Linked DNA regions of Ovis aries. The protein of the gene in region 1 purifies or fractionates together with the protein of each later gene. This does not show direct contact. Links are inferred from orthologs where the notes say so. Each region holds a gene or a part of one and is shown on either strand. Other genes may lie near its edges.

Region 1 (4,536 bases):
TCCTCTCCCAAATCACAGCTCATTCTGCATTCATGTGGATCATATACTGTGTGTGTGTGTGGTAAGTCGCTTCAGTAGAGTCCGACTCTTTGTGACCCTATGGACTGTAGCCCACCAGGTTCCTCTGTCCATGGGATTTTCCAGGCAAGAATACTGGAGTTGGTTGCCATGCCCTCCTCCAGGGATCGAACCTTCATCTCTTCTGTCTTCTGTATTGGCAGGGCTTTTTTTTTTTACCACTAGCACCACCTGGGAAGCCTGAAACACACACCTCTTCTAACAAAACATCTTCAATGAAGGCTTTTGAAATTTGTCTTTTTCATCTCTTACTACTAGCTTATATAAACCATAACTTATTATCAGCCAAATTCTCAAATATAAGTTGTACCTTCCCAGGAACGCGATAATCTGTTCATTAGAAATGTCCTCCGGTTGAAAATCCTGCACACGTCAAATATCATCTCTATCAAGATTCAATCACAAGTAATGTCTTCTTCATCTGAATTCCTGATTATAATACCATAGCATGATTATATGATTATAATACCATAAATACCTGATTGTAATACCATAATACCATACACAACCTTACCATAGTTGTATAAAAAATTACCCAAGCCTGACTACAAACCTGACTCTAAGGGCTGAAACCATGTTTCACTCTTTTTATTTTCCAGAGGGCTTTCCGTGATAGACCCACAGAAACTGACCTACTTGGCGTTCTAAAGTAACTTTTGAAAAGAATAGTTATTTTGACATATGCATTGTTTCTTAAGTATTAGTTCTCCTGATACACACATGCTCACACACACACTATATTGTAAAAAATTCATGCTTTTTATAGACAAACCAACTATATTCATCTCATTCTCTTTGCAGCTACTTATCAAAATGCTCCTGAAATTGCATGCAGACTTGAAAAGTTTAAAAACTGTATGAGGGACTTCGCTGTGGTCCAGTGGTTAAGACTCCGAGCTCCTGAGTCTGATCTCTGGCCAGGCAACTAGATGCCACTTGTCACAACTAAGACCCAGCGCAGCCAAATTAAAAAAAAAAAAAAAAAGTCAAACAAAAAATCTACACTAAAAAAAGCTGCTATTTATCCCTTTATTTTTTAGACATGACTACATTTCACAGTTCTCCCCAAAAATCTTTCACCATTTATGCTCTTCATTTCCTTTAAGAGTCCACAGTCTGTCACATGTTACAGTTCACTGTGCTCCAAAATCTAGCTGAATTCCAATTTATATCAAAGGTTATTTCAGCAAGATTATTTCAGGCTTTAGAGAAATTCTAATCCTTCCACAATCTCAAAATGTCTCTGTTGTGGGAAAAGGCTTTACTTCTTGGAATTCCTAACTCAGTGAACAGGCATGAGGATCAAATAAGATTGTATATTTGAAAAGTCACTGAAGATTATAACAGCAATACATAAACCTTAAAATTATATCCTCAACGTTGCATTTCAAACGATTAAAATAATTTATCTACTACAATCTAATGCCATTGAATGCATTTACGTTTTTGGTTTCAAATAGGTTATAAAGAATCACAAAAGACAAAAAAGTGAAAGCTGGCTCTAAACCCATAAGAAGCAATGTTAAGCAGACAATCTCTCTTGCATATGGCAAGAGGTCAAATAATTTATTTCTGGAATATTTCTTGTACTGTCCATTTTTTTAAAATCCTGCCAAAGTAAAGTAATATAAAGCCCCTGGTGTAGTACAATTCATTCCTAATACTTTTTCTTAAGATTAGCATTTCAATAAGATTCCCATTTTCCCTCATGTTTATATTAACAGCATGAATTCACTAACAATATTCATATTATGTTCAGACCAAATAGCTTATTATTTGCTTTGGTCAGACCTTTCCAGATGATACATTTGCTTCAACCAGAAACGAACTAGGACAGCCTCATTATATTTTGAAAGAGATTTTCCTTAAAAGAAAAATAATCTGATCAAACTAAAAAATTCTACAATTCTATACATCTATTAAGCAAGAAGTCTAGAGATCCTTGTGGTAAAATTCAGCGTCAGTTCAGAGCCTACGCGCCTGCCGGTGTTGTCACCACTGTCCCAATTTTCCTGGCCTTATATTGATTATATGAAACCGTAAACCCTAAAAATACTTGTGTAAAGCACCAGAGTCACCTAACAATCATTCAAAAGAAGAGCATTTTATAGTGGGTAAATATGTAAGAGTAAAGGTCTGGGAAACCACACACCATGGAAACTGACTCAAACAAAAGCTGCGGATGGACAGACCGCAAGGGCTACCGTAACCTCTGAAAACAGTCGGATTAAATATTCACCGAAGAAAAATTCCAGGGACGACGACGCCTAGGTTTTCCCGCTGACAACAAAGAATAACGGAGCCCCTGGGGCTGCACGAATGGGTCCGATCACCCCAACTGCGCCGCAAAGCGAAACCAGAACCCCGGAGCCAGCGCGCTGCGGGGCTTCCAGTCTTCCGCGCCCACCGTGCCGGGCTGGCAAGCTGGAATGCGGACCGAGGAAGGAGCGGAGACCTTCTCAGGGACTCCCCTCACCCCTCCTGCCTTCCAGGGAAGCGCCCCCTGGGCACCCTTCCTCAAATGTACGACTGACTCGCGTCCTCCGCCGACCCCTACCGGGCCGGCCACCAATCATCAGCGCAAAGCACTGGAGGGGTCTAGGCCTTCTACCCACACGCGCGCTCACCACCATCCGGAATCAAGAAAAAGAGGCCGCTACAGCAGCCACAGCTCCGGTGCGCGGCAGCGAGAACACAGATCGGCCCCTGGCTGCAGGCGGGCGCCTTTCGGCCCTGAGCCCCTCCCAGCAGCGTCGCGCTCACCTCCAAGGCCTTCCCCACGGGCCCCGCCAGCGCGGCCAACGGTGGCCTGTGGCCGCACCTTCACCAACTCCTCTTTTCTTCTCCTGACCTAGGAGATGGGAGGCGTCACGTCCTGGGCGCCGGAAAACAGCTCCGCAGCTTAGCCCGCGGGCTCCCCGCCTCCCGCACCCGCCACTTCCCGCAGCAGCTACCGCTCCTTCCGGTGTCTCAGCCGTCGCCGCAGGCGTCTGGGGAGTTGCGGGAGGGCGGGGAGGGGCGGGGCTACGAAGAGAGCCCGCCCCGCCTCTGGGGGCGTGGCCGCGGCGGCCGGGTCCAGGTGCAGAGACCCAGGCTGCTGTCCCCGCTGAGACTTCCTAAGGAGCTAGCGGCTCGGGGAGCGTGTACCTGTAGAGCAGTTTTGGATTTGAAACACTTCGTTTCTACACGAGTTCTCGCCCTCTTGTACAGTCACACTACGACCGTTAACAGGTCTGTCTCGATGCATTACAGAATTTGCGTTTAGGCTGCCCACTAAAGGGGCAAAGAAAGTATACTTACTTCAACACTTTTTCCTTCCTCTCTTTCTTCTCCCAGCATCTTAGGACCTAGACTCTCTGAAAGTCATTGTGTTTCTTCTCCCACTTCTACAAAGTAGAAATTCGTCTCTCCCATTTTCCCTTAGGCCAAAATCAAGATCAGATCAATTATTTATTGAAACCTTAGTATCTGCTTAGTGACTAGAGCATTTAAAGAGATCTGCCTTCTATTAATAATTAATGGACCTGTTAAAATCCATTCAATTGATTAATATGCAAACAATAAAACAGTTAATATTAATTGTTCCAACTGTCAATTTCAACGTGTCTGTTTATCTCTAACTTTTCGGTCTCCAAAATGGGAGCTTGTACTCAAGTGTTATGTAAGATGATCAGTCTCTGTCAGAAACAAATAGAGAATATGGGAGCTTCTAATTCTATCAATTTATATCAAAGGTTATTTCAGCATCTTTGATATGGTAAAAATGAAAGAAATGAATTTTTGCCCTCATCTTATGTAGGAATTGACACCAAGCCCTCAGTTTGCACCACAACCTATCCTGGGTTAACTGACTGTCAGCATATTTCAAAATATTGCAGTTTACATGCTGGAAGATCTCAGCAATGTGTTAAATTTTTATTTCGTGAAAACATTGGTTCCCTGATATCTTGTAGCAAAGTACTGTCTGACAAAAGGAGAGTTTTATAGGTTTATTTGAAAAAAGACATTAAAAATTTTATAAACCTTTCTGGTGATAAGTGGCTGTTGTTAGCAATGCTAACAACAAAACAACTTTTTAATGTATACATTTTCCTATGGCCCTAGAGTAAAAGCTGTGTTTCAAAAATGAGTGAGAACTGCTTTTTGAAAGAAACTTGTGCAATAAAGAGAGCATTTTGAAAAAGGAGGTTTGAAACTGTTTCCATTATTAAGTAATACTGCTGGCAAAAATTGTCACCTATTAAAAAGTCATCTCTGCATCAAAAGACACTATAAAGAGATGAAGGAGTTAAGTCAGCAAATAGGAGAAAACATTTGAAATATGTATCAATGTGACTAATAAAGGGCTCATATATAAATGTGTATATACATATATATATATATATATTTCCATGAATCATTAAGACACTAAATAGACAAAAGACAAAAGTCATTGCTCCAAAAATTCCTGTGTTGAAA
Region 2 (3,823 bases), about 93 Mb from region 1:
TGCCCTGATGGATTGACAAAACGCCCATCCTTCAGATTTGGGCTATTGAAGGTTTTCATCTCATTGATTTTGTTACTAAGGTCCACATCACCATAAACAGTTGACTCAGGGAGCATCAGATTTGTTTGTTTGTTATCCAGTTGGTTGTTATAATTTGCTATACAATCAGCTACGTGCAATGGAGAGGAAAAGGAAAAAGTCATTCCGCATGGTTATTCGTTTTAAATTTCTTTGTAAGAAGCTTTGCGAGTCACAGTAAAATTGTTATATAAAGTATAAATGGGCTTAAATACGATGAATAAAAAGGACCATGTATTCTCATGTCCTTTCTAAAGAACAGAATCAAATGTTCTTTCAAAAAAAAAAAATTCAGGGAGTAAGAGAGGACATATAATTTATATGGAGACTAAATAATTCTGAACTTCAGTTAGTGTTATGTAGTTTATAAATAATGAACTCAATTTAAGTAATTTTCCTTTAACAATCACATTAATGAGAAAGGCACTAAGAGAATATATACATGAATATCTTTATGTGCCAAGTTTATATTTTCTAATCTGGAATTACTGAACTATTTGAAGTTACGAGCTAGCTGTTAAAGCAACAGAACAAGGCTACTAGGTTTAGTCCAGACCTTCTCCCTCCCCCAAAAAACCTCTGCCCTCAGATCAGATAACTTGAGATTTCAATATTGTACAAAATACCTCTATTCAAAAAAATGAGGAACAGAGGTAAAGTGATAGTAAACAATACTCAGGAGAATTTTATTAGTTTTTTCCTTTGGTCACGCAAGATAATAATTATCAAGAAAAGCTATTATATAGTCATTTTGTATGGTTTCATAATGATACCTCAAGATATATAAAATGACAATAATGATGGCCAAATGAATCATAGTACCCAGGGCAATTTAATCAAATAACACCTGTAATAATCTGTCTAATATTTCAATTTCACTCTAATTTAAGAGACAGAAATACTTAAGATCTGCATTTGAAAATATTAAAATAGCAGGAAGAACTAAAATCATCATTTAAAACTAAAATACTAAATAAAAATTTAGTTACATTATAATAGTAAAAATACCACTATTTTATGCATAGTGGCTGCAACATTAACAAGTTCACCTTGAGGATGAGTTTTCGACTAAATCGTAAGAATTGATGAATTAATATGGCTACTACTGAAGATGTAAAAATGAATATAGTTTTAAGAAAAATTGGCAACTTCTCTACTCTAATGAATTCAATTACCTTGTATTTTAACAACAAAAGATCAGGGATCAGAGGTATTTAATTAATCTGGCTTTTAGTAATTTTATTTCTAATTTTTAGGTATTAAGCTTCATGTAAGAGTTGTTAAAATATTTTTAATGGCAATATAGTTTTGGCAATCTCATTTTTCTTTGCCAGTATTTCCATATGAGTGCTATCCAACAGAACTTTCTGAGATGAACATGTTCTATTTTGTACTCTCTAATACAATAGCCACATGTGGCTACTGAGTACTCAGAATGTGGCTAGTGCATATGAGGAACTGGATTTTAAATGATATTTTATTTAAATAGCCACCTGAAGCCAGAGGCTACCATGCTGGATAACTCAGCTCTTCATATTAATTTACAAAAATGTTGTCACTTTCTTCTCTTACTGGCCTCAGCATAATCTTTCTTTTACTTATAATTATGTGAGCACTTCTCTGCCTAGATAACTAGAACACCGACCTCTGAAGAATAGGGACTTGGTCACATGATTGCATCATTTTCATATCCAAATTCAGTGGAGACTACAATTTGTTCTTTACGGTACATCATAATTTTTACTTAAACACCATATTTTATTTTCCTTTTTCTTAATTCCATGGGTTATTTTTATAGTCATATATTTTGATTCTTCATGACTCTTCTAATATTTCCTATATTGTGAATGCGTGCTGAAAGGTTTTTTTTTAAGAATTACTTACAATTTTATTCTTTTAAATATTGCATACTCTACATCCAAAGTTTACTGTCATGTTTTAGCATGAAATATTATCAAGTAATTCACCACACATATTTCTGAACCCCAAAGACACAATTAGTATTAGCATACTACTACTACTAAGTCACTTCAGTTGTGCCCGACTCTGTGCAACCCCATAGATGGCAGCCCACCAGGCTCTGCCATCCCTGGGATTCTCCAGGCAAGAACACTGGAGTGGGTTGCCATTTCCTTCTCCAATGCATGAAAGTGAAAAGTGAAAGGGAAGTCGCTCAGTTGTGTTTGACTCTTCGGGACCCCATGGACTGCAGCCTACCAGGCTCCTCTGTCCATGCGATTTTCCAGGCAAGAGTACTAGAGTGGGTTGCCATTGCCTTCTCCAAGTATTAGCATACACAGCTGCAAAAGGTATATATTTCTTGTATCCTACAAAAATTTACTATTATACAATAACATTTTTGAATTTCAGTTAGCTTTAATTTAAAATCATTTTTTGCCACCATATAATTATTCTTATTGCTGTTGTTACTGCCATTAAAAATTTGGATCCCTCAGACTATATATTTGTTGGTTGGTCTTTTGATTTGCTTTGCCCTCAAAATCTTTAAAATAAATACTCTAAATAACTACAATCTACTAAAAATATAATTACACACATTTTTATGAGGATAACTACTTCTACAGAATTTCATTTTTCCTTATTTGCTATTTATTCTAGAATTTATATCCTCCATTCTCCCTTCATATATTGGGAAACATTTTTGGGTGCAGAGTGAGGTGTGGAGATCTAAGGATGGAGAACATAACTTGAATCAGGCTAATTTGCTAAACAGTGGTTAATATTTCATGAACATATTGATTAAATTTCCTTTCCAACTTAGGGAGAAGAAAAGGGAAGTTATCGCCTCATGGCCTGTTCCTAACAATGCCGAGCTTGTGTATCAAGCTATCTCTGTGCCTCTAACCTGGGCGACTATACGTGGTCAAGTTGCTGTCACTGTTCCCATTGCCTGCCGTGCAGCAATTGATGGAGCAGTCGTTGTGATTGTTCCCAGTGTTAGGCCATGTGTCTGCCAGCCATGGCTGTGTGGCAGGTTCACTGATGTTGAGAAGTCCTGGCCTAAAGAAAAAAAAACACGTATAAAAGCAAGTGTTATATAAGTAGCAAATAACATTGCCTATTCCGTATTCCAACCCATTCTTCATCTTATTATCCTTACAAATAATTTGGTCAATTATGCTGAAAGATATTATCATTCTTTTTATTTTATAGACAAGGCAAGTAAAATGTAATGTTCTGGGACACACCTCAGTTTATATAGCCATTACACTGTAAACAGGCAGAGACTTAAAACACTGTAGTTTCTAATGCTTTACTGCTTCTTCAGTCATAGACTAAAAACCAAACAAGGACTCTAAAAAGGTGAGGTGAGGTGAGGTGAGGTGAAGTTGCTCAGTCGTGTCCGACTCTTTGCGACCCTGTGGACTGTAACCTACTAGGCTTCTCCATCCATGGGATTCTCCAGGCAAGAATACTGGAGTGGATTGCCATTTCCTTCTCCAGGGGATCTTCCCGACCCAGGGATTGAACCCAGGTCTCCCGCATTGGAGGCAGACGCTTCAAGCTCTGAGCCACCAGGGAAGATTCTAAAAAGGTGGATACTTGTATTTTTCAGTATTTTAATAGCTTACAGAATACTCGAGTTAAGAGAGTTTGCATTTCTTAGTTTTTGACCCATTAAAAAACCCATTAAATTCTTCTCACAATTTCATTAAAAAATGGAACAAGCTCTTTACTTAGATAAAGGAACCTTCACAGTAAGCACATTTGCATACTTTTCTCC

What was found.
Region 2: the proteins of USP33 (region 1) and ROBO1 purify together in Homo sapiens (affinity purification with western blotting; 5 studies listed by BioGRID and IntAct, with this or other methods). This does not show direct contact. The link is inferred for Ovis aries from reciprocal best matches to the Homo sapiens genes USP33 and ROBO1.

The regions. Positions count from the first base shown.
Region 1 is NC_056054.1:54,221,577-54,226,112, forward strand, and holds the start of USP33 (ubiquitin carboxyl-terminal hydrolase 33), read right to left. Parts: upstream 3,071-4,536; 5' UTR 2,842-3,070; intron 1-2,841. UniProt on the Homo sapiens protein: Deubiquitinating enzyme involved in various processes such as centrosome duplication, cellular migration and beta-2 adrenergic receptor/ADRB2 recycling.
Region 2 is NC_056054.1:147,042,288-147,046,110, forward strand, and holds part of ROBO1 (roundabout homolog 1), read right to left. Parts: intron 3,100-3,823; coding exon 2,945-3,099; intron 170-2,944; coding exon 1-169. UniProt on the Homo sapiens protein: Receptor for SLIT1 and SLIT2 that mediates cellular responses to molecular guidance cues in cellular migration, including axonal navigation at the ventral midline of the neural tube and projection of axons to different regions during neuronal development.